Arabidopsis thaliana: one gene and its partners. The protein of the gene in region 4 purifies or fractionates together with the protein of the main gene of each other region. This does not show direct contact. Each region holds a gene or a part of one and is shown on either strand. Other genes may lie near its edges.

Region 1 (4,862 bases), 6.2 Mb from region 4:
CGGGAAAAATAAAATATTAAAGTAAATATAAAAAATTGATGAACCTCATATTTAGTTCTTCATTTGGCTTTGTTTCATTATTAGCTCTTTTTACAATAAGACAAGTGAATCTATTTTTTTTCTTTTTAAGGATGTTATTGTCTTTGAATAATTTTAAATTTGTACCCTATTTATAGATTAAAGTATTGATTAACACTTACAGGCGTTAAGCACTATTTCTACATAAAAAAAATACACTGATTTGCATAGAATTCTGTACAAACAAACAAAAAATAGAAATTTATTGCTTTATTTGGGGATTATTAAATGATTCAGGGCGTAATAACGAGAGAGATGAAAAAAAAAGGAAATTATGACAGCTAACACTAAGAGGCTTGATGACAAAAAAAAAAAAAAAAAAAAATACTAAGAGGCCTAATGGCTTACATTAGGCTGGGCTGATCACTGTTTCTTCTCTTTGGAAAAGCTCAGATTTCAACACTTTGAGCAATAAGTTTTTGTTTTGGGTTCTTAAGGAGGATATGGATTTGGATTAGAGTCCGTAGATAAGCATGTCACTTGTGAAAAAGTTGAATGCACAAGTTGTCTTCGTTGCCATTGGCAAAAGAAAGAAACGAAACGACAGCGTAACAGACGCATGTTAACATGCACATCACAAGGCTAGAGTATAACTTTCTTTTCAGTAATCTAATCCTCTAAAGCTGCTCAAAACTTGCAAGAAACCAACTGTTTGCATTGGTAAGTTTTGACTTTTAACAACACTGCTCTTAGTTTGTCTTCATTGCCATCGCAAAGAGAGAAAGGAGATGATGTTAACATGCACATCACAAGACTAGATTTTGACCTGACCTTACACACTCTCTTTCTCCATCTCTCCAGTTATCTAATCCTCTAAAGCTGCTCAAAACTTACATGAAACAATGGAAATAAACTCACTCTTCTCACAACAATGGGAAACACAGGCTAGATCCACTCCTTCGGGTTGATGCAAGCATCCAATAGCTTCCACTCTTCGGTCCCCTCTTCCGGTTTCTGCACTCACAAACACCATTACTACATTGCCATATTCAATTGAATTTAGACCAAGTTTCTTCACAAATGAGGAAAGAACTTACATGGTCATATTCCCATCTTGCTGAAAGCGGAAGAGAGACGAGAATGCTCTCTATTCGTCCTCCTGTCTTCAGACCAAATGTCGTTCCCCGATCATATACCTTCCATCCATCATTACAAATACATTAGTGAACAAGGTTCATAACGAAAGATTGGAGAGATGAGAGTGAGAACAGAGAAAAAGACTAATGTTTTGGTCATAGTACCAAGTTGAATTCGACATATCGCCCTCGTCGCAACTGTTGCCATGCCTTGTGCTGCTCTGTAAATTCCATGTCTTTCCTTTTCTCTACTATAGGTATATAAGCCGGCACCACTGAGTTTGCGCATTCTGTAAACACCAATTGCTAAATTAGTCTACCAAGAAACTAGACCAATTAAAATAAATCGTTTGTTGTAGATTGAGGACAATCAGTCCCTTACCAGTGGCAAATGACAGAAGCATTTCCTGATCATAGTCATTAAGATCATCAAAAAATATCCCTCCAAGTCCTCGTCTCTCATCACGGTGCTGCAAGCAAAATCAAAGATTTCTAAGAAAAGTTTTCAAAGCCCTCACACTAACAATAGGCTTCTGAACGTCTCTCTAAGCAGTTTCTACCCTCTCAGATTTGACTATAACATCCCTAAACACAACTCAAAGAATAAGGCCCTCAGTTCCAGAAAATGCTTCAGGATCTCACAAAACTTACCTTGATGTAAAAGTAGTCATCACACCACTTCTTGAATCGGGGATAGAAGGAAGGGTCAAATTTGTCACAGGCTTGCTTTTGAATCTACAACAACAAAGAGCAGTTTATATAAAAGCAACTCCATGATCACAAAGCTCATATCTTTAGAACAAGGAATAAGGCTCAGTACCGAATGGAAATGCTTGACATCTTCTTCAAAGATGTAAGCAGGAGTGAAATCAGTGCCACCACCAAACCACCATTGCCTTGGAGCTCCAGGAACATCTGCGCCGTTGAAAATTAAAAACTTAAGACTGTTGTCCAAACAAAAGACAACAACTTTACAATCTCACTGAGACTTTAGCTTTTTTACCCTTTGGAGCATCTGTCTCGAAATAGCGATAATTGAAATGCAGGGTTGGGGCAAAAGGGTTCTTGGGATGCAAAACCTAGAATCACACAGAAATCCGTAATGATAAAACATGAGAACCTCCAAGAATCGTAAAATTGAAGGGAGAGATTCATTACCGAGCTGACTCCAGCAGCGAAGAACGGAACAGGACCAGGTTTCTGATCAGAAGCTGAGCCCTTTGCAGCTCTATAAGCTTCAGGAGGCATAACACCATAAACCACAGAGACATTAACACCAGCTTTCTCAAAGACATTCCCGTCCTGCAACACACGACTGATTCCACCGCCACCACCAGGTCGAGACCAAACATCTTCTTTAAACTTAGGACCGCCTTCTATAGCTTCAATTGCATCACAAACACTGTCTTGAGCAGCCCTAATCATAGTCTCGAAACGAGCCCTGACGGAAGAAGAAGAAGAAGATGGAGTGACGTCATCAGAATCCCTAAGGAAAGTAAAGGGTCGTTCAGTTTCGGGAACTTCTTTCTCAATTGAGACTGAACATCGCAAGGCGAGATTAGGTTTATTTCTGATTGGACGGGAGAATCTGAGAGTAGAGGGATTGGGAGAATAATGAAGACGATGAGAGGAGAAAGGAGCGAAAGTAGGAGAAGAGAGGAGAGTCGACGAGTGAGAAGCCATGTTTGATCCGAATTTGGATTTGATGCTGAAGAAGAAGATGATGATGGAGAGATATTAAATGATAAGAAGTCTTCGTCGTCCACTGATTTTGACCGCTCTTCCTTTTTATTTAACAGCTCAAGGTAAAAGAAAACACAGTTCCAGTCTTCTCAGACTAAACCACTTCTGAATTATTTAGCCGAAACCAAACCAGACACGAAATTAAAATTGCGGTTTAATTTGGTCGAACCGAAGATATTGATACACAATAGGCTCTTATCCTTCTTAACGGGCTTAATTGCCCAAATTAGGCCCAAAACGATTAGCCGGTTTACGGCACTATGCTATTTTGATGTGGATAAATCATGGTCATGTAATATATCTTTATCTATCGTTAGAATCTGTGATAAACAAAACAAAAGTGTATTATAGATTCGAATCCTATCTAATTATTATTTCAAATAACCAAATAGATGTAATTACAACCGTCTTATTCTTTCCAAAAAATAGTTAATCGCTGACAAAAGAAAATCCGGTTGGGCCCATCACGTTGTCTATATATTCATGATCATATAGAGAGTTCAGCCGCTTGACCTGCGAGGAATTCAAGAAAACCCTGCTTCACAGAGCAGTATTACACAAGAGACGAAAGAGCACTTTTAACCTTAGCAATTATATAGGTACCTTAGCTAGTTCTTCTTCGAATCTATACGATCGATATGAAGATTCTTCCGGTTGGATCACGGTTTTGTCCGACGGATCTAGGGTTGGTGAGGCTTTATCTTCGAAACAAGGTGGAGAGAAATCAGAGCAGTTTCATAACAACTATGGACATCCACCAAGACTACCCTTGGCTTCTTCCTCACGTAAACAATCCTTTGTTCAATAACAACGAGTGGTACTACTTTGTTCCGCTTACTGAACGAGGTGGCAAGATATTAAGCGTACACCGGAAGGTAGCCGCAAGAGGAGGAAGCGAAGGCGGCACTTGGAGAAGCAACGATGGGAAAAAAGAGATCAAGGACGGACACATGCAAAAGGGTGATGGGTTACGAGCAGTCTTTCACGTACCACAGGAGAGTGCATGGAAAGCTTGTCAAGACCGATTGACAGAAGATGGAGTATTCTCTTCACTAGAGTGATGACCTCCAAAAGGTTGTCTTGTGTCGGATCCGATACAAGAAAGAGGCGAACGTCAACGAGTTTGGACTCGTTAACCATCAGGCTCATCAGACTCAGGTGGCGGAGAACACCAACAACATCTTACGGAACCAAGTAGTGTAAGAAGAGGATGCTTTAACCGGTTTTGCTGATCAGCTTGAGATGATGCTAGAGGGACAAGAAGACCGTGAGCAGAAAGAAGAGGCTGATTTAACCGGTTTTGCTGATAGCCTTGAGACGATGCTAGAGGGACAAGAAGATCATGAGCAGCCAGAAGATGCTGATTTAACCGGTTTTGCTGATAGCCTTGAGACGATGCTAGAGGGACATGAAGATCGTGAGCAGCCAGAAGAGGCTGAATTAACCGGTTTTGCTAATGATGACCTTGAGACGATGATGCTAGATGGAGAATAATCTCGCGAAGTTACTCAACAACAACAACAACAACAACAACAACAACAACGTCAAGAAGATTGTGACGTTACTCAAGAGCAAGAAAAAGATGATGTGATGGTACTGATAAACAATCCTAATGATGCCCTCGCATTGGGGAATTATGAGATTATTGATCTAACTAGGGTTGATAAATGATACGACACAAACCAGAGAGGATAGAATTATATTTTAGTGGGTTGAGTTGATATGTGACAAAGATTACTATAGACATATGGTTAGTGTATTTGTGTAACTCCGGTAAAGGAGATATCATAAAAATAGTGGATTTTCCGGGGTAAAATTCTAGTTTAACGAACTTTATTTTAGTTTGTACTTTTGTTTTTCCATAACTCTACAATTAATATAGAGTTGCAGCAGTAATGTTAACTATTTAGCTATGAATTTCAATTGTGTACTTAAAAGTAATGTTTTTGGTTTTCAAAGATTATA
Region 2 (4,751 bases), on a different chromosome or scaffold from region 4:
AGTATCAACTATAAAAATACATATATTAAATCCACTAAACCATTTCGTAGACCAAATAATCATCTCGTATGTGCCATGCTTATGAGTTTATCACTAATTACACTAATAGGACTGAAATTCTCAAAGAAAATAAAACATTTATTTGAAAATAGAACAGCAAAAAAATTGAGAATCTAGAGATTTGGATTTATTCTTCGTTCTATATTTTGTCCCGTTTATATACTAACTGATGTTCTCATTTGTTTTGTGGTTAAAGTAGCTAACTGTTGTTGACACTTAACAGTAATACTCGCTAACTGTTTTATTTTCGTAATTTGTGAAACTTCTTAGAGTACTCTTACTTGGGCTCATATCAGGCCCAGTATTTTGCGGATGTTTATTAATGTGTTTTTTTTCGATTAAAAGAGAATTTTATATACAAATACAATGTGCAAGTTGAATTTTCTTTTTCCATTTGTAGTAAAAGATTTGTGGACTGGAAATTGTGTAATCGATACTTGATAATTGATAAGAATCCGAAAGCTTATGATTCTATGACAAAAGACCCTCTCCCAAAAGTAAAGTGGAAAAACACATCCCCGTGACTATATGGAGCAATCCAATCTGGTTCACGGGTTTCTCTAAAACTTGATATATATACACCTTCTCATGCACATTCATTTCAACACCACAAACACAAACAAACATATAGAAAAAGAGAGAGGAGGATAATAATATGGCGAGCAAGAAAGCAGCTATGGTTATGATGGCGATGATCGTGATAATGGCTATGTTGGTCGATACATCAGTAGCGATAGATCTCTGCGGCATGAGCCAGGATGAGTTGAATGAGTGCAAACCAGCGGTTAGCAAGGAGAATCCGACGAGCCCATCACAGCCTTGCTGCACCGCTCTGCAACACGCTGATTTTGCATGTCTTTGTGGTTACAAGAACTCTCCATGGCTCGGTTCTTTCGGTGTTGATCCTGAACTCGCTTCTGCTCTCCCCAAACAGTGTGGTCTAGCCAACGCCCCAACTTGTTAAAAGACTCTGTATACGTGTGTTTATGTTTTTTATTACTCCTATTCTAAATATCGGATGTTATTAATAAATCGTATTTTCTGCCAAATGGCGTTTATGGGTTAACCCCAAAAACTGGTCAAAAGAAAAGAAAGAGGACCAATCGAAAACTACACAAGGCCCAAACACGGAAGGGCAATTTCGAAAAATATGTAACCAATAAGCGATAGAGAGAAACCACAAAGCACAAATACAGAGGTTTATGGTTTCACTACCTCTGACACAGTATTCAACACTCTGACACCAAAACAACAAATATTCTTAATTCCGTCTTATCTAATCACTAACCATTTCATTTTCATTCCAAATAGACGATTATACCCTTAGTACTAAACCAACAAAAATGACAAAGAACACAGATTAAACACAGAACGATTATAGAAGATAGATAGAGAAGCGAAATCATCAACAAAACATAATATAGCCCGAGATTAATATGCAATTTCACCAAGATTAGAGTTTGTCAAAAGGGGTGAAATTAGAATCCGAAAGTCATTAGCCTACTCGATCCGGTTTACTGATTACCGGATTCCACAAAAGACAAAATAAAAGCATAAACCTAGGATAATAGATAGTTTTTTTTGTTCAGAAACCGACGAAGAATTAGATCCGACGACAGATTCTAAACCTCTTTGTTCTCGTCGGTGATCACGGTCTTCTTCTCCGCGAAGATCCAAGTGACACCAAAAGGATCCGTAACTTTTCCTTTGAATCCCAGTTCAACTTCTGCCTCCGTAACCTCCACTTTCACAGCTCCGGCGTCAACAGCTTTCGCAACGGCGGCTTCAGCATCCTTAGTTCCGAGAAGAAAAGTCACTCCCGAACCTTCCGATTTCGCACTGTTTAACGATTTAAAAAAGAAACAAAACCACATAAGTAAACAGTAATCGTATTTAAGAAAAGGCACAATCATCCACTTAAAATAGTTTTTTAAGCGTTATAAAAGTTTCCAAAAACTATTCATTTCAAAAACCTAAATCCAGATCTAAAACGAACAAAAAAATCGTGTTTAAGGGAGAGGAATAACTTCTAAACATGATTTATTCTCCAGATTTCTTCTAATAAAACAACCTAAAACCAGATCTAAAACGAAATCAAACACTAAACGAACAAAAACCTAAAAAAAAAACAGAAAACATGGAGATCTAGAAGCTAAACACCAAAACGAGAGAGAGAGACTTACGTAGAAAAACCAGGGAGAGAGGAAACGTCGCAAACAACGAAGGAAGAGCCAGCGAGATTAAGCTCAGAAGAGAGAACATGAGGAAGCTCTTGGTCAAGCTTACGCTTAGGGTAAAGAGAATGACCAGACTCGATCGCACCAAAAGCAGATTTGTAGAAAGTAACAGCGTCACCGACCTTTTGAGCTTCAACGAGCAACATCTGCTTGAACTCAGTGAAGACAAGATGCGTCTCCACCGGACCAGCACCGTTAGTAGCAACAGCAGTAACATCTTCTTGAGCCATCGCAGAGAGAAAATAAAACTTTGAGAAGAGAGATTCGTTTACGGTTAAGAGAGAAATGAAAATTGCGTGTGAAAGAACAATCTAGAGACGATGAGTGAGATATTTATGAAGGAAGCGGAGAAGCGGAATCGTTTCGTGTAACCTGACGAGGATTTCAAATGGATATAACAATTGCTCTCACGTCCGTGGATTTTTACCCTTACTTTTTGATTTATTTACGTGAATATGCCCCTACTAATCACTTTTCATTTACTACCCTATAGGACTCGTGTCTCGTTCGCATGTCTCCTCTATTAAACCGTTGGAAAGAAATCAATTAAAATTGGTTACTCGAATATTTTAATCTTTGTTATATACTGTGTCATCAAATATTTTAGTTTGTTATCATTGTGTAACTCTGAATGGTACACATAGGACAAAAGTTACGATTTTATTTTTTCCCATCCGTTTCGAATGGGTTTAAAGATATGTTAATATCACTACCATTATTCTTTTTTTTCTTCTATCCCTTTCCAATTTTATTTTACGTCACATGTAACTTTTGAGGTTTAATGGATGTGCATAGTTTAGTAGAGAGACATTATATGTCATATCAACCAACCAAATTACAAATTATATACCGATCAAGATTATTTCAGGACGCAATCTCTACCTGCGAGTCTTTCTTGATGTAACAAAAGATATTACTAATAAGCGATTTCTTCAAGAACTTGGAGGGTTTTTTGGTGAACCTGTGAACAGAAATAAACTATGATGAATGCAAAGAAACGAGACTTTGGTTGCAAATGTTTTGGTGTTATGAGGAACTTACCCATTCTAGATGTTGTGCTGTTATCCCGGAGGCATTACCCGAGTATATACTTCCCAGTACCTATCAAGATTGGATTTAAACATCACATAAAAAAGTGGTCAATGTTCTCTATTACTATCATCTGTTGAACATAGGGGATCGAGGAATGTTGGAAACATACCTTTGTGACAGTTTCTAGAAACATTCCTGGTCTTACTGGTAACGGTTTTCTTCCTGTAACGCTTCCCTGAGATCGCATCAAGTAGGCCAAGTAAGAAAAGAAGACATATCTTTGGTTCAGAGCCTACTGAAAAAGTCTTCTCTTTTAACAAAACAATGTGTCACTTGATCATACTTACCCTTCCATTTAATCCACTTGGTTTTCTTCCTTCGGTAGAAGAATCGTCTTCTTTGCTAAGATTATCTGCGCCTTCATCTTTCCCTTGCATTACATTCTGGATCATCTGCTGCACAGTCTTTCCAGGTTTCAAAGCTACCAATTTGGCTAAGAAATTCACCTGTTTGACGATCAAGCAACAAGTCACTGTATCTCAATGTTTAAAAAATGTTCACAAACACAGCATCATGGACATAATAGTTTGTCACACAAACCTCTGATTCAGGAAGAGTAGTGAAACCTCGGTCATTTCTTTCATCAAGTATACCTCCTCCCATCATGTTCCGGGCTTCCTCTCTAATCAAAACAAGCCTCGCTAGTAGTTTTCGATCCGGAATAGCTGGCCTTGTTTCCATAGTCTGCAAAAATCCTCAGACTTGTTCACATTCTCAAACTATCTCAAATACAGATTGATATCTATACTTAAACAAACACAAGTACCTCTAGCAAGTCATCAGCTTGATTAGCTATGTCATTCAGATTTGCTCCGGGTATATGAAGTTTAGTACCGTTCTCACTTTCAAAAGCCCCACCACCTGCAGCCACCCTACGCAGAAGCTCATGTCTACTTTCCTTTTTCGGGGTTCTACAGAGTAAACCAATCACCTGGACCTAAATATGGAGCAACACTTACACAAAATTAAAAACATGAAATGAAGCTAATGAAAAATTTAGAAAGTAAGAAGAAACTAATCTTAATATTACTCACATGAGGAGGGCATTTCTTGGTGAGATGAGATAAGACAGTCTCCTTGACGACCTCTAGTAAAGACTTTCTCTGAATCCAAAACAAAAATTCTTTAATCCTTTGTCCCAGCTTATGCTACAGAACTAATGGCAAGACTAACAACAGCCATAAAATCCAGAGAACATGTAATATTTGCTACACTACATTGCAAAAGCAATTCTAGCTATCCTGGTCGTTCTATGTAGCAAAACTCAAGTCAATTCTAGAAATATTTTTGTGTACATTCAGAGGGAAAATGCAGAATTGGTTTACCTTCTCGTCTTGGTCTTTGTCTGCAAGTTGGATCATG
Region 3 (6,777 bases), on a different chromosome or scaffold from region 4:
GTCCGCCGCCGGAGGAGTACACAGCTGACGCTCCGATCGAGTCCATCACCGCCGTAATCACTCCCGCATTCCAACTTCCATCTTCTCCCTGAGAATCATCTTTCGCATTGTTTAGTAATAATAACGTTCACCAATCAAAAACACAAAAAAGGAAGCTTAAAACTAGATTCGTTGGATTAAGTAAATTTTATTACCACGACATGATCTGTGACAAGTAATTTACAACGTAAGATCCCTTTCCCGACATGGATGAGTTCTAAGCCTTTCAAGATTAAAATCTCGAACTCGGTTTGCCCGTTTCCTTTTGCTATCTCTTCGAGATACGTCGTCGTGTTATGGATCGTTGGATCTACCATACTGTCCCTTCTTCTTCGTCTTTTTACGTTCTCGTTACAAAACAAACTTGCGTGTGGGAATATATGGTTATCGGATCATCATAGTTAATTACCATTATACCCTTTTGGAATGATTACTGATTTAGCATCAAAGAGTCAAAGACTATGGTCAACTTTCCTTCTTTCACACTATACAATTTTGTTGTTCTTCACACTAAACAAAGAAATAGTATATAACAAAGATTTACTTCTCAAATAGTTAATTTGGTATTGATTCTTGACATTATTGAGTCAAAGTACATGATACAGGAAAGAAGGAAATTACATTTTATGCATACGTGTCATATAATCAAAAGAACAAGGAGTAGCAATGAAATCCATGGTTGTCTTTATTCTTGATTTTCCAGAGATTTCTTTAGCTCTTTTTTGTTCACCTGCAACTCGAAAAAAATACTCATACACTGAGAATGATTCTTATTGGTTACAACAAAACAACTATCTCTGATATCATTCAAGAAAAAAGAAAAAATTTGAGAGAAATATAGCTACCTTTCCCATGGCGTTGCGAGGCAAGCTCTCCCATATCAGCAATCTTGTTGGTAGCTGAAAAGACAGAATATTATGGACAAGAAAAAAAAAGAAAAAAAGATTGACAAGACTGTTGCGCGTTTTGACAACACTTTGGCAGATTTTTAGTACCTTGTAAGGAGCAAGCTTGTCTTTAGCCCAACCGCACAGTTCTTCTAAGGTTATTACAGGTTTTGACTCATCCTCTCTTCTCTTCTTTGCTGCACTCTCTGCTATAATTATCGCAGTCACGGCTTCTCCATAGTCGTTGTCTGTTAACCCCAACACGCAACATTCTGCAACAGTAGGGTGCTGCATAACACATCCCCCAGAGATATCATACAACGATTAAGTTCTCTCGGTTCAGTTATCTAAAGCCTATTTCCCAAGGAGATAAAAGCTTCTGATAGCTTCACAGAGCCAAAAAAAAACTCAAATGGATGTTAATGTTACCTCGAGAAGGGTTGATTCGATTTCTAAGGCAGATAACTTGTATCCTCCAACCTTCATAATGTCAGCGCTATTACCTGATCGACACCAGAGAAGATAAGATAAGATGTTAAATGAAGGAACACAAAGTACTTTTAAATTGTGTTTGAATGTACTTATAGGTTCTGCTTACGTCCTAGAATCACGTAATATCCATCCTCATCCACTCTTCCAGCATCTCCCGTCTTGAAGTATCCATCTTCCGTAAATGATTCTTTAGTCACCTCTGGAAGATTCCAGTACTCCTTGAACAAAGATGGGCTTTTAACACATATCTCACCCACTCCATTTGCGTCATTTTCATCTTCTTTTATTTTAGCCTATCATGTTTACACTTTTTCAGTATCATAACTTCATGTCACAGTATTACTAGTACTTAATCTGTGTAGCATTAGTTAAAAGGTATTGAGTGAGGACGAAAGAGAAAGAAGATGTCACTGACCTCCACACCAGGAAGCGGTTTGCCGACAGTACCTGCATTTCGTGCACCCCGTAAGGGGTTTGACATTGCCATTACAAACTGGGAATATTGAAGATTTTTTTTTAATTCAGTAGATGTAACTACTAAGAACAAGCTTGTGTTAAGCTTGTTCTAAGGTATTGATTATGGTAACTCAAAGAGACAGGAAAATCTACTTACCTCAGTCATGCCATATCTTTCCAAAAGACGATGACCTGTGATACTTTCCCATTGATGCATGACAGGTCGAGGGAGAGCAGAGGAGCCAGACATCTGAAAATGTATTTCATTGGCTAACATTTAAGCACTAGTTTCATCAGAATATGAAAATAGCATAGCTATCTAGGCAGATAATGATAAACATTAAGCTGGATTGGCTCTTCTAGGAGATATTTGGTTGCTTACCATTAGGCGAAGCTTCCGTGCAGCAAAAGCGCTCGAGTCCTGCATCTCTTTATCCATTGCTTCATAACCTTGTATCAACCGAGTGTACATGGTTGGAACCTGTGTATCGCAACAATAACTTTACCAATTAAAAATAGCTAAATCTCTCGCTGTTTCTTTCTATTTCTCATCTCAGGCTAAATTTCTCTAAAGCAAAGCATGTTTGTTTATATATCTAGAGCGCAAGAAGCAAACTGGAAACTGATCAACTCAGCCAAGACTATCATTTTGTTACATAGTAAAATTGAGTAAACTCACATTGAATAGTGAATACTTCCCTCAATTCAAATACTAACTAACACTAGAAACAATTAATAAGCTTGCTATATCAGGCTTAAGAAAAGGATTATGCAACAAGAAATCAAACAATTAACTTGAGGCAGGGACAGCTAAGCATAAACTAGTATTATTTGTCTGGAATACAAGTAACAAAAAATAAGACTTACTCCAGTAAATACAGTTATGGAGTCGTTGGTTTTTTCATCATTCACCGGATATGATTCACGCCATCTACGCCAGATTCCACTAACACTAAATTTGGGCAAAAACTCCACCTTGAAAAAGGAATGTGAAAATCAATTAAAAACCTAAAACTAGCCTGATGTTTTCCGAAGGTAATGTATTTTGAAAGAGCTAGCCAAAGCAAATCTCAATAGTATAAGTTACCAAAGACCGTGCGTAAAGAGGAGCAAATAAAGCGTTGAAAAGCCCATGAACATGATGTAGTGGGAGGCAGTGGAGAAAATGATCAGCAGATGTGTACTCCCAAGCTTCAGTGAGCATTCTAACCTGCAACATATACAAGCTTCTAGCTTATAAGGTACATCATAATTTAGATACATGCAGACCATTCTATTGCAGGTTGGGTAGATTTGAAACATGACATGCGCTACATAAGGAGGTCGGATATATACCTGGGAATTGATGCTGTTGTGAGTATGAACAACTCCTTTTGGCTTACCAGTTGTACCACTAGTGTAGACGATCAATGCTGGATCATCTGCACAAATAAAGGCTGAAGTGATGCAGAAAATCCAGACCAATAATTGCTTGAGGTAAGGTGGCAAAAATTAAAAGAGCAGCCTTCATTATAAGTTCACCATCTCAAGTATATTCAAAAACTTACCTAGAAACTTTCCTTCTGCTTCAAAACTGTCATCCTGAAACTGATTGCAAGCAACAGTTTCCGAAGTTGAGTTAACAACAGGAGGAATAAGATGAAATCGAGCACCACTCTTTGCTGCGATGGTTTTCATAGTTTCACTATGGTCCTCTGTGCTCAATAACAGAGATATATCCTAGAAACCGAAGACAACGAGGTTAGATCCCAAGAAAATGTTAATCATTTTTTCTCGAGAGTAAAAAGAGCATAAGGCACACTTATTTTGTGAAACTTGAATGTGGTAGAAAACAGAGCAAACCAGAAAACTTCTGCCTTTTAGAATATTTTCTACTTTGTTCTACAGAGTACCCTTTTTAGTCTATGGAAAAAGACCTAATGCTAGAAAAACCAAGAGCTTGGATCAAAATTCTGAGATCACAAAAATAAGATCAAGAATACCTAACAATTGAGCCGAAATTAAAGCACAAGGAAATAGGAAGGCAAGTAGATTCCATACCGAATCATTCATGACATGTAAGAGTTCAGCCTCAGGATAGCTGAGTGCAAGTGGAACCGCTACACCACCGCTAAACCATGTCCCCAGGACTCCTGCAACAAACTCAGCTGAAGGTTTTGCCACAATTCCGATTCTAGCTCCTTTTAGACTACCAAACCCTTCATACTTCTTAGTTTCTTGACCTCCCTACGAAATTTATAGAAGACAAAAAAAGTCAATAACCATAAAGCTGTAAACAAACTGTGTGATAGCTTCAAGTAGTAGATATAGTAGCTACAATTTCAAACCAAAAACCATACATTTGTCGTATCATCTTTTAAGAACAATTTAGATATCCTCAAAGCAGACGATGTTAGCTGGCCATAAGAGTAACTCTTTCCATCGGCTTTAATCGCAATCCTATCACAAGAATTAGACGCTTCTGAAAAAGCTGCTTTAAACACTTCCATGAGTGAACCAGACTGTGAAGCTGCAACATTTTGATTACATAGATAAAATTCAGATTAATATATAGAAACTACATGTACAAAAAAAGAACAGATTGAGTTCCTTGGAGATGCTGCAAAATTTTCAATATAAATTCAGATCAAAACAACAACTTGTTCAGGTTTTTACGGATCATCAATGTTACTATATGGAAAGCACGAATCTTTAAGACATTTCGTCGAACATGTAACATGCAAAAACCAAACAAAGGTAAAGAAGAAAACTTACAGAAGAGATGGTTAGATTGGAAGAATCGAAACCCAGAATTGGAAAACGAAGTAGAAGCTGGGTGGGATCGAGGAAGAAGAGGAGAGGAGAGAATAGCGTAGGAGTTGTGGTTGAGTCGATGGTTAATTAAAGACAAGTAGTTGAAACTCTTTAATGTTGTCGTAGCGGTCATTTTTAGGTCTGGTTCGTTAAAAGGTTTCGACTTTTTTCGCAAGTCGTACAGTCAAATTACGTAGCCGTTCTTCTTAGGTGGTGGTTGCAATCGCCAAAAGAGAGCCTTCGTGTCGATCATGAAATAGCGACTGAAGCGTTTGGCGACTTTGATTCAGTGGAGAGTTTGGCACGTGGCGTGTTTTGATGATTAAAAGTGAGTGACAGGCGATAATGGGTTATTCTTTAATGACGCTTTATTAGGCATTTTTTTAAGGTTAATTACTGATTTGCTTTTTCTCATTTATTTGTGTTGTGAATTTCTTTCTAAGTATATTTACACAAAATTAAAGACCATCTGAATATTGCATTTTGAGTGATGTGATCCTGACCGTTGATGAATAACAATTGTGGTTAGCTAACATCTTATACATATGCTTTGATATGCATTGATTTTATTATTGTGAAGTTTTGAACTCTAGAGGAAGATTCTATTTAATGCCAACATGCAATTAATAACTTTTTTTTTATCAGTACCTTTTAAAGGGAGTGTACATCTTAGGTCTCCGGTTTGAGCATTGGAGAAGACTAATTTTGTTATATTAAATTATTAATCATGAAATTAGATTTCTTTAATCCAACTCCATCTTCGTCATCAACACATCATCATTCCCTCCAAGATCACTCTCTCTCGCTTTTGAATACCTTCGCGTTGTTCACAGAACCTTTTTGTTTCTTAGAAAACCCCTTGGAGCTGGCCAAAAAAAAAATCGAGAGAGAGACAATCATTCATCGTTCCGAATTAGGATCCAGCATTCCATTTTTGTTCTGATATCTGTCAGCCATGGCGACTCTCCGATACACTGATCTGATCTGATCTATGAATCGACGCTTCTCTGAGGATTCCTCACCGTTCATGCTCTAATCGGTTCGCCAAATTGAGGAACTAACTTGTGTGGCGACTATAATGTGTCAAGGACCGATATGACAGGAAACGCAGATTCCGGCAAAATCGCGACAGAGAAAGACCCTAGGAAGCTCGTTTTCACCAAATTGGAGGTATCTCCCGTCTTCCGAGAATCTCCTGTTAAAGAACTTCCTCTTTTTCCTCCGATTTCTCGGTATTGTTCCAGTTTCTCTGCCAATTTTCACTAGAGATGCTTCTCGTTTGAGTAATTTCAATCCAAAATCTACTCTCTGATCTCCACTGGTCTTGATTTTGAAGCAGAGAGCATTCAGAAGCAAAGGATAAGACAGATGAAGAAGGCATTACTTCGAGGAAACACAAAGGATGTCGATGCAAGCAGTCCAAATGTTTAAAGTTGTAAGTTCATTTCAGGATCCAAGAATTACTTAGTGTTAAGCTGATAGAGATTTGAGTATAATGTTGAATAGTGAGATTTCTATTATCTGCTGTAGATTGATGCATTATTGGATATTTGTTTGACGCTTGGTTATTAGGTACTGTGACTGTTTTGCATCAGGAGTGGTATGTACAGACTGTGATTGTGTTGATTGTCATAACAACTCTGAGAAATGTGATGCTAGAGAAGCAGCTATGGTGAATGTACTAGGTCGCAACCCAAATGCCTTCAGTGAAAAGGCTTTAGGTAGCCTAACTGATAATCAGGTATGTTCTTGACACCTATCACTTTTGTAGGTTAAGCTTCAAAGAGGTATATTTCACATCCTTTTTCATTTGTAAGTATCTGGGATGTTCTGTGTTTTGTATTGTAGTGTAAGGCTGCACCTGATACTAAACCTGGACTGCTTTCGAGAGGCTGCAAATGTAAAAGAACCAGGTGTTTGAAGAAGTACTGTGAGTGCTTTCAGGCTAATCTTCTGTGCTCAGACAACTGTAAATGCATCAACTGCAAGAATGTTAGTGAAGCGTTCCAGCCTCCTGCATTTTCTGCTCACAATTCCCCACAAGTATACCGGAGGAGAAGAGACCGAGAGCTAACTGAGGCAAGTGAAATATACTACTTGCTTCATAACA
Region 4 (6,208 bases):
AGGTGATGCCGTTTCGAGCTGGTGGTTCTAGTGAGCTGGCTCTTCTGGGCGAGCTGGCTGATCTTCGACGAGCAGACTTCTCTCGACGAGCTGACTTGTATCGATGAGCTGGCTCTTCTGGGCGAGCTGGATGATCTTGACGAGCAGACTTCTCTCGACGAGCTGACTTGTATCGATGAGCTGGCTCTTCCGGGCGAACTGGCTGATCTGGGCGAGCTGACTTGTGCTATCCTTTCTCCAGGTCCCGAAAAACGTCCCTTCTCCCGAGACTTTCTATTCCTTATTTATACCCGTCCGTATAGTAGGGTACGCAAGGTGAATTCCCAAGAGTGCCCCCCTTTTCTACGCAGCTGAACTCACATCCTGACCAGGCCGGGCTTCGGCCTGCTGGGCCGGCTCGAGTTCTAAAGTGATGGTCGGGCTGGGTCGTTATTCCTTGAAATGGGCCGGTTGATCACTGAGGCCCAATTGATGTATCAACAGGTTGTTTCCGATAAACTACACAGTTTCCATGTCGCATATGCATACGATTTTGAATCTCTTGGACAATAATATCGTGGATTTAGAGATTAGATTAAAACTCAAAGATACTTTTACTCTAGTACATTTTCTTTATAAAAGAGGAGGGACTGTATAATTATAATATAGTAGCTCTCTCTAAAACATAACAAGAAAGAAAAGCTAATCTCTTTGTGTAAATTCTAGTCGATCCATGAAGCATCCACCATCTTCGCCATGAACGAATATCTATCAGCCGCTTCATCAATCTGTTGCAGCTCACAAACATTACACTCCAAGCATTTATATTGTACAAAAACATTTAACAGAGAAGTCTTATGTTTAGATAGTTACCATCTTTTGCGTTGGACGTCCTGCTCCATGCCCGGCTTTTACTTCTATTCGAGCAATTATAGGGTTCGTCTGTGGACTATTCTCTAAACTCAAACCTAATTCATATTGCATTGTCTGCGAAAGCGAAATCGGGTTTCAATGGAAGATGAAGAAGAAGAAGAGGAAGATACAAAATGCAAACAAGAGGTTGAGAGACCAACCGCAAGCAACTTGTAAGAATGAAGTGGGACGACTCTATCGTCATGATCAGCAGTTAACAACATGGTTGATGGGTACTGAAAAAACAGATCTGTCTTCTGTTCCCATGGCCTCTTCACATTATGCAGAGGCGAATACCTTATTTTTACAGATTAAAACCATCAGATAAATCTACCAAAAGAGAGAAGCTTTATGGTGATCCTAAATAAAAGACTTACTTTATCAGCCAATGGAACTCCTCTTCCTTGTCAGAACAACCAAATTCAGAAGTCCAAGCATGTCCTATGGTAAACTTGTGAAACCGGAGCATGTCCATGACCCCAACATGAGCCAGAGCACACCCAAAGAGATCCGGTCTCTGCAGTAAAAGGTGTAAATTTTTTATTATGTAACTATGTGATTGCTATTTTCATGAGCTAAATATTTACTACTCTGTTTACCTGATTAATGCAAGCCCCTACTAGAATACCACCGTTACTACCACCTTCGATACAAAGTTTCCTCGGTTGTGTATAACCAGCTGAAACCAGATACTCAGCCCCGGAGATGAAATCATCGAAGCAATTCTGCTTATTGGCAAGAGCACCAGATTTATGCCATTCCTCACCATACTCACCACCACCACGGATGTTTGCAAAACAGAACACGGTACCAAGATGCCTACCAAGCACAATACGGGTCGCGCTGAAAAACGGCGTCATGCTTATGCTAAACCCTCCATATGCATAGAGCAAACATGGGTGTGATCCATCTAGCTTTATATCTTTTCTAGCCACTATAAACATCGGTATATCTGTTCCGTCCTTACTCGGATAAAAGACCTATAAAACATAATCATGAAAATAGGAACTCAAAAATAATGTTTGTATTGCAGATTCAGTACTTTGTAATGGAGAAAGCATATACATACCTGAGTGACTTGAAATGCAGTTCTATCGAATCCAGGTACACCGATTTCACGAAATACCGTTACTTCTGGAGCTTCATGGGATAAGTCACATATGTAAATGACGCCAGGTGTAAGGAAGCTTGTGAACCTAAAGAAAAACGTGGTGTCTTTACGCCGAGCAAAAACTCCACATACCGAGCCAATATCTACAGGTAATCCATGAAGCAAGGAACCGGATTTCAAGTCCCTAATCTGCAGGATGTGTTTTACATCACTCATGTAGCTAACAACCAGTTGGTCTCCATTAACTGCAGAAGCTGTTGAGAGAACATCCTTTTCATGTTCAGCGATAACATCAGTCCAACTGCTCGGTTCCTTCAAGTCAACCCGAACTACTTTGTACTTTGGGGCATCTTTGTTGGTTAAGAAAGTAAACAATGTCTCGTCGTTTGCGATAGCAATGTATTGTGCGTCAAAAGTGTCAATAAGCTTAACAAATGGAAGTAAAGTGTTGCTTCCTCTAAAACCTTCTAGACCTTTAGGAAGTAATGAGAGATCACAATGATAAACCTTGTTTACAGGGTCACAACCTTCTTCAATTGACATGATTAAGTACTGCATTGGAAAGGAAAAAATAACATAATGGTTGGATCAAAACTCAAACCCAAATCTTAGACTTTCTGCATCATAAGACTAACTTTAAGTGAAACCATCACCAAGAGAAATGAGAAAAGAGCTAGCTTTTACCTTCCCATCATCAGTGACTTTGGATCCGAACATATGTTTGGGATTATCTTGGTCTCTCCAACACAAAACATCTTCGGATTGATCAGTCCCAAGGAAATGGTAGTATAACTCATGGTAAAGGTTAGAATTAGTCTCTGTACCAGCATCTATCTTCTCTCCCTCTCTACAGAAACAAAACCAAAATCAGAAAACAGTAATAAAAACTCAAACTTTTGAAACAAATTCCTCAGCTTTTACACCAAAAAGTTTCACAGTTAGTTAAACCAAAGACTCACCGTGGAGCTGGATAGCGACTGTAGAAAAAACCTTTCCCATCATGTGTCCATGTGATCCCACTAAACTTAACCTGATTTCAGAACAAGTTTCATGTCAATGTCAATAATGAAACTTCAAACTAACGAGTAATTCAACTTGAAGACGCCTTACCCAAGATAAAGAATCAGGTTCCACTTTCTTATCTTCAATCTTCATCACTTTAATAGTAACCCAATCACTACCACTAGAGCTAAGGCCATAAGCCAAATACTTAGCATCCTCACTAATAGATAAAGTGTTTAAAGAAACTGTTCCATCATCACTAAGAGTATTAGGATCAAGCAAGATCTCTGCTTCAGACTCCAAATCATCCTTCAAATGAAAAAAAAAAAAAATTCAAATCAAAAACCCACTTAAAGAAGATTATACTCTGCTTCAAATTACCTGAACATGAAGCACACTCTGAGCTTGAAGACCTGAGTTATGGAAGTAAAAGTAGCTGTTCCCTCGCTTAAAGGGCGTATCGAAACGAGGATAATCAATAAACTTTGTGAATTTGTCATGAAGCTTTTCCTTCGTTTCGCAACTTTTGAGCACTGAATCTGACAATTGCACTTGCTTCTCTACAAATTCTTTCACTTCTTCAGCGTCAGGATCTTCCAACCTACCAAGAGAACCGAATCAATTATCTTAAACTGAATTCTAACCAAACCAATATACGATTGTACCAAACCGGGACACAAAAAAGTTAATGAGCAAACAAACAAAAATTGGTCCAGAAATTAGCCTACTGGTCCAGTAAGATCAATAATGGGCCAAAAAAAAATCGATAGAGCTGGTCCAAAAAAGGCTCGTTATGCTATTGGTCATGAGCTAAAAATCTTTCATTACGATAAAACAGCAGAAATTTCAGAAAGCTCTCCGGTAATAAAAATCTCCGTCAACTCAACCAACATGTCAACAACGTTATCATACAAAACAAACAAACAAACAAGTGTAGCTAGTTACAGCTGAGAACGTAAACGCTTTTTACCAGCGGTAAGGATCGGAGACTTTAACGCCGTGATAATCTTCAACGACGGACTCATCACGCCTCGCCGTTGGATACTGCAACCGCTCTTCAAACGCAGGGAGAGATCCCATTCTATCTATTAGCTAACCTTAAATTTCCGACAAGAAAACCTAAAAAGACTTGACGAAGTAGTTGGCGTTAAGTTTTGTGGAGTCTAACGGAAAAAATAATAACCCGTGTTGATAGGGTATTTATAGGGACATTAAAAAAAAAAAAGGAAACATGGAGAAATGGAAATTAAGAGCGCGCGTGACAGATATGCATTGAGTCTCTCGTTATGTCGAAATAGTTTCGTGCATCTGTCGACATTGTTTTGTTATGTTGCCATTTTTAATCAGTTTTGTAATTTACACTAACCTTCTTTTTTGGACCATTTTTGTTTTTCAAACCAAAATGGCATCTTCACTTTTTATTTTATTTTCTATACTTGTATTCTTCCATTTGTTTCGTACAAAGAAAATAAAATTTGTGTTTCGTATGATATTGTTGATTTCTTGTATTACCAAAAAAAATTCATGTATAGAGAATGTATTTGATAATTTGAAGATTCTATTATAGAAAGTACTTAAAATAGGACTTTTAAAAAAGGATAAGAGAGGACTTAAAACGTAAAAGTTAATATTATGTCGTTAAAGAAATTGGTTTTTTTCACTTTGATTTCTGGTGACTCTAAAACCAACTAAAACATCTGTCAACACAGTTGACTAGTCAACGGATGTGGTAACCAGCTAGCTAGCGAATCCATGATCGTCGTGAGAGTGAGTCAGCCGAAACCTGCTACTATAATAGAAAGTAAATTCATTCAACCATATTATGCTATGTTTAGCCGCCCCAATCCCATTATTATAGACTAGTCCATTGTGTAATCTTTAAATGGTTTCCATTTTTGTATCGGTTATTTTATTATTGATTCGATCCACAGTTTCTTTTGGGGAAAACTAAAAATTTATTCAGTTTTATATCGTATAATTTGGGGAAATGGTTGTTTTGTTTGTTCTCTTTTCTCATATGATAAATCACAAGTATATATACACTTAACTGATGTTTGTCTAAGCCAGTAATCTATAAAGCGATTTCAATCTCAAATAATGTTAGATGAGTGGGCGAGTGATATAGTCTCGTAAGCTACTTTTATTTGTTTTTGTATTTCAAGTTTTTCTTAAGAGTCACTAAATTCATCAGATAAGACAAATTTAGTTTCACGTGTGATAGATTCGCATATCCTCTGATGCTTTATTGAATACTTTTCGTACTTCTTGTATACAAAAATCGAATTAAAGTATAAATGCATGTAGAATAATGTTGTTATACATGGCATCCATTACACATTAAGAATGGGACAATATTTTTGTAAAAAGTTAGCACAACTAATATTCTGACAACCAAATTCTTATATCTAACCATTATTACTGTTCTGAATGAAATAAATTTATTAAAAACCATTTTCATTATTAAAATAACACCATTACTAGCCTATGGATAATGAATAGAGTTTCTGATATATACCAAACTATGATTCCCAACAACAACAAAATTAGAATAGTACAGTCATCACTCATCAGGATGCGTATGTATGTCGGGCTTGAAGCCCATACATAATACCTGATTGAAGCCCATTTTCCGGATAACCATGTAACTATGTAAGCTTGATTGCTCCCGCAAGGCCGCAACGAAGTTTAATTTGATAGTCCACAAATGAGTTATTGTAGATTATAGATAGAGTCGATAACCTTTTCTAAAACCAAATTTTCATTATTATTTTTTAATCAACTCAACTAGAAGTCTAGAATGAAAACTAATGCATTAATATCTCATGCACAGATTAACATTGTGGCCTTTAACTTAATTTCTTTTTGGTTTTGTTTTTCGTCTATATTTAAGAATGTTGTAATAGCTAAAACTGAGTACTTTTTTCAGTCAGGAGAATTTTAAACTTTAATTAATACTAGTATCAAAAACTGTAGCAACCCGGATTTCATCTTAAGAAAACGTCTAGAGAGGTGGAAGTATTATGTAGAGCAAACTTTACAAGACTTTGAAAATCATCGAACGGTTACCAAAATCTTTTATGTAAACCCTATAATTCATGAATATTCATTAAATCCAAACTGTTGTCCCTCACAAGTCACAAATCGTGAGATTGTTGAATACATTACATAATACCCATTTACAACATTTGTAGAAAAGATGAGAGT

What was found.
Region 1: the proteins of AT1G20380 (region 4) and LIN2 fractionate together in Arabidopsis thaliana (co-fractionation; one large-scale study listed by BioGRID). This does not show direct contact.
Region 2: the proteins of AT1G20380 (region 4) and AT5G48480 fractionate together in Arabidopsis thaliana (co-fractionation; one large-scale study listed by BioGRID). This does not show direct contact.
Region 3: the proteins of AT1G20380 (region 4) and AAE13 fractionate together in Arabidopsis thaliana (co-fractionation; one large-scale study listed by BioGRID). This does not show direct contact.

What each region holds. Positions count from the first base shown.
Region 1 is NC_003070.9:868,339-873,200, forward strand, and holds LIN2 (Coproporphyrinogen III oxidase), read right to left. Parts: upstream 2,971-4,862; 5' UTR 2,838-2,970; coding exon 2,313-2,837; intron 2,234-2,312; coding exon 2,158-2,233; intron 2,070-2,157; coding exon 1,975-2,069; intron 1,890-1,974; coding exon 1,806-1,889; intron 1,625-1,805; coding exon 1,537-1,624; intron 1,445-1,536; coding exon 1,320-1,444; intron 1,215-1,319; coding exon 1,116-1,214; intron 1,033-1,115; coding exon 964-1,032; 3' UTR 515-963; downstream 1-514. Other genes in the region: NAC006 (NAC domain containing protein 6), read left to right, coding at 3,536-3,874, 3,954-4,055, 4,107-4,344, 4,402-4,568. UniProt on the Arabidopsis thaliana protein: Key enzyme in heme biosynthesis. Catalyzes the oxidative decarboxylation of propionic acid side chains of rings A and B of coproporphyrinogen III.
Region 2 is NC_003076.8:19,642,590-19,647,340, reverse strand, and holds AT5G48480 (Lactoylglutathione lyase / glyoxalase I family protein), read right to left. Parts: upstream 2,803-4,751; 5' UTR 2,528-2,802; coding exon 2,244-2,527; intron 1,900-2,243; coding exon 1,683-1,899; 3' UTR 1,025-1,682; coding exon of another isoform or gene 716-1,024; 3' UTR 501-715; downstream 1-500. Other genes in the region: DIR1 (Bifunctional inhibitor/lipid-transfer protein/seed storage 2S albumin superfamily protein), read left to right, coding at 716-1,024; AT5G48470 (uncharacterized protein), read right to left, coding at 3,214-3,258, 3,339-3,398, 3,499-3,564, 3,677-3,835, 3,930-4,073, 4,156-4,326, 4,424-4,492, 4,715-4,751.
Region 3 is NC_003074.8:5,474,076-5,480,852, reverse strand, and holds AAE13 (AMP-dependent synthetase and ligase family protein), read right to left. Parts: upstream 4,999-6,777; 5' UTR 4,801-4,998; coding exon 4,629-4,800; intron 4,384-4,628; coding exon 4,214-4,383; intron 4,101-4,213; coding exon 3,915-4,100; intron 3,594-3,914; coding exon 3,422-3,593; intron 3,296-3,421; coding exon 3,210-3,295; intron 3,085-3,209; coding exon 2,962-3,084; intron 2,850-2,961; coding exon 2,742-2,849; intron 2,356-2,741; coding exon 2,257-2,355; intron 2,125-2,256; coding exon 2,032-2,124; intron 1,912-2,031; coding exon 1,834-1,911; intron 1,712-1,833; coding exon 1,525-1,711; intron 1,430-1,524; coding exon 1,356-1,429; intron 1,215-1,355; coding exon 1,035-1,214; intron 939-1,034; coding exon 885-938; intron 770-884; coding exon 725-769; 3' UTR 504-724; downstream 1-503. Other genes in the region: AT3G16175 (Thioesterase superfamily protein), read right to left, coding at 1-88, 195-356; AT3G16160 (Tesmin/TSO1-like CXC domain-containing protein), read left to right, coding at 5,763-5,899, 6,007-6,102, 6,240-6,408, 6,516-6,746. UniProt on the Arabidopsis thaliana protein: Malonate--CoA ligase that catalyzes the formation of malonyl-CoA directly from malonate and CoA. May be required for the detoxification of malonate.
Region 4 is NC_003070.9:7,059,541-7,065,748, reverse strand, and holds AT1G20380 (Prolyl oligopeptidase family protein), read right to left. Parts: upstream 4,308-6,208; 5' UTR 4,085-4,307; coding exon 3,975-4,084; intron 3,606-3,974; coding exon 3,386-3,605; exon of another isoform or gene 3,314-3,385; coding exon 3,113-3,313; intron 3,033-3,112; coding exon 2,962-3,032; intron 2,850-2,961; coding exon 2,687-2,849; intron 2,555-2,686; coding exon 1,961-2,554; intron 1,872-1,960; coding exon 1,491-1,871; intron 1,409-1,490; coding exon 1,269-1,408; intron 1,189-1,268; coding exon 1,053-1,188; intron 967-1,052; coding exon 853-966; intron 768-852; coding exon 702-767; 3' UTR 507-701; downstream 1-506.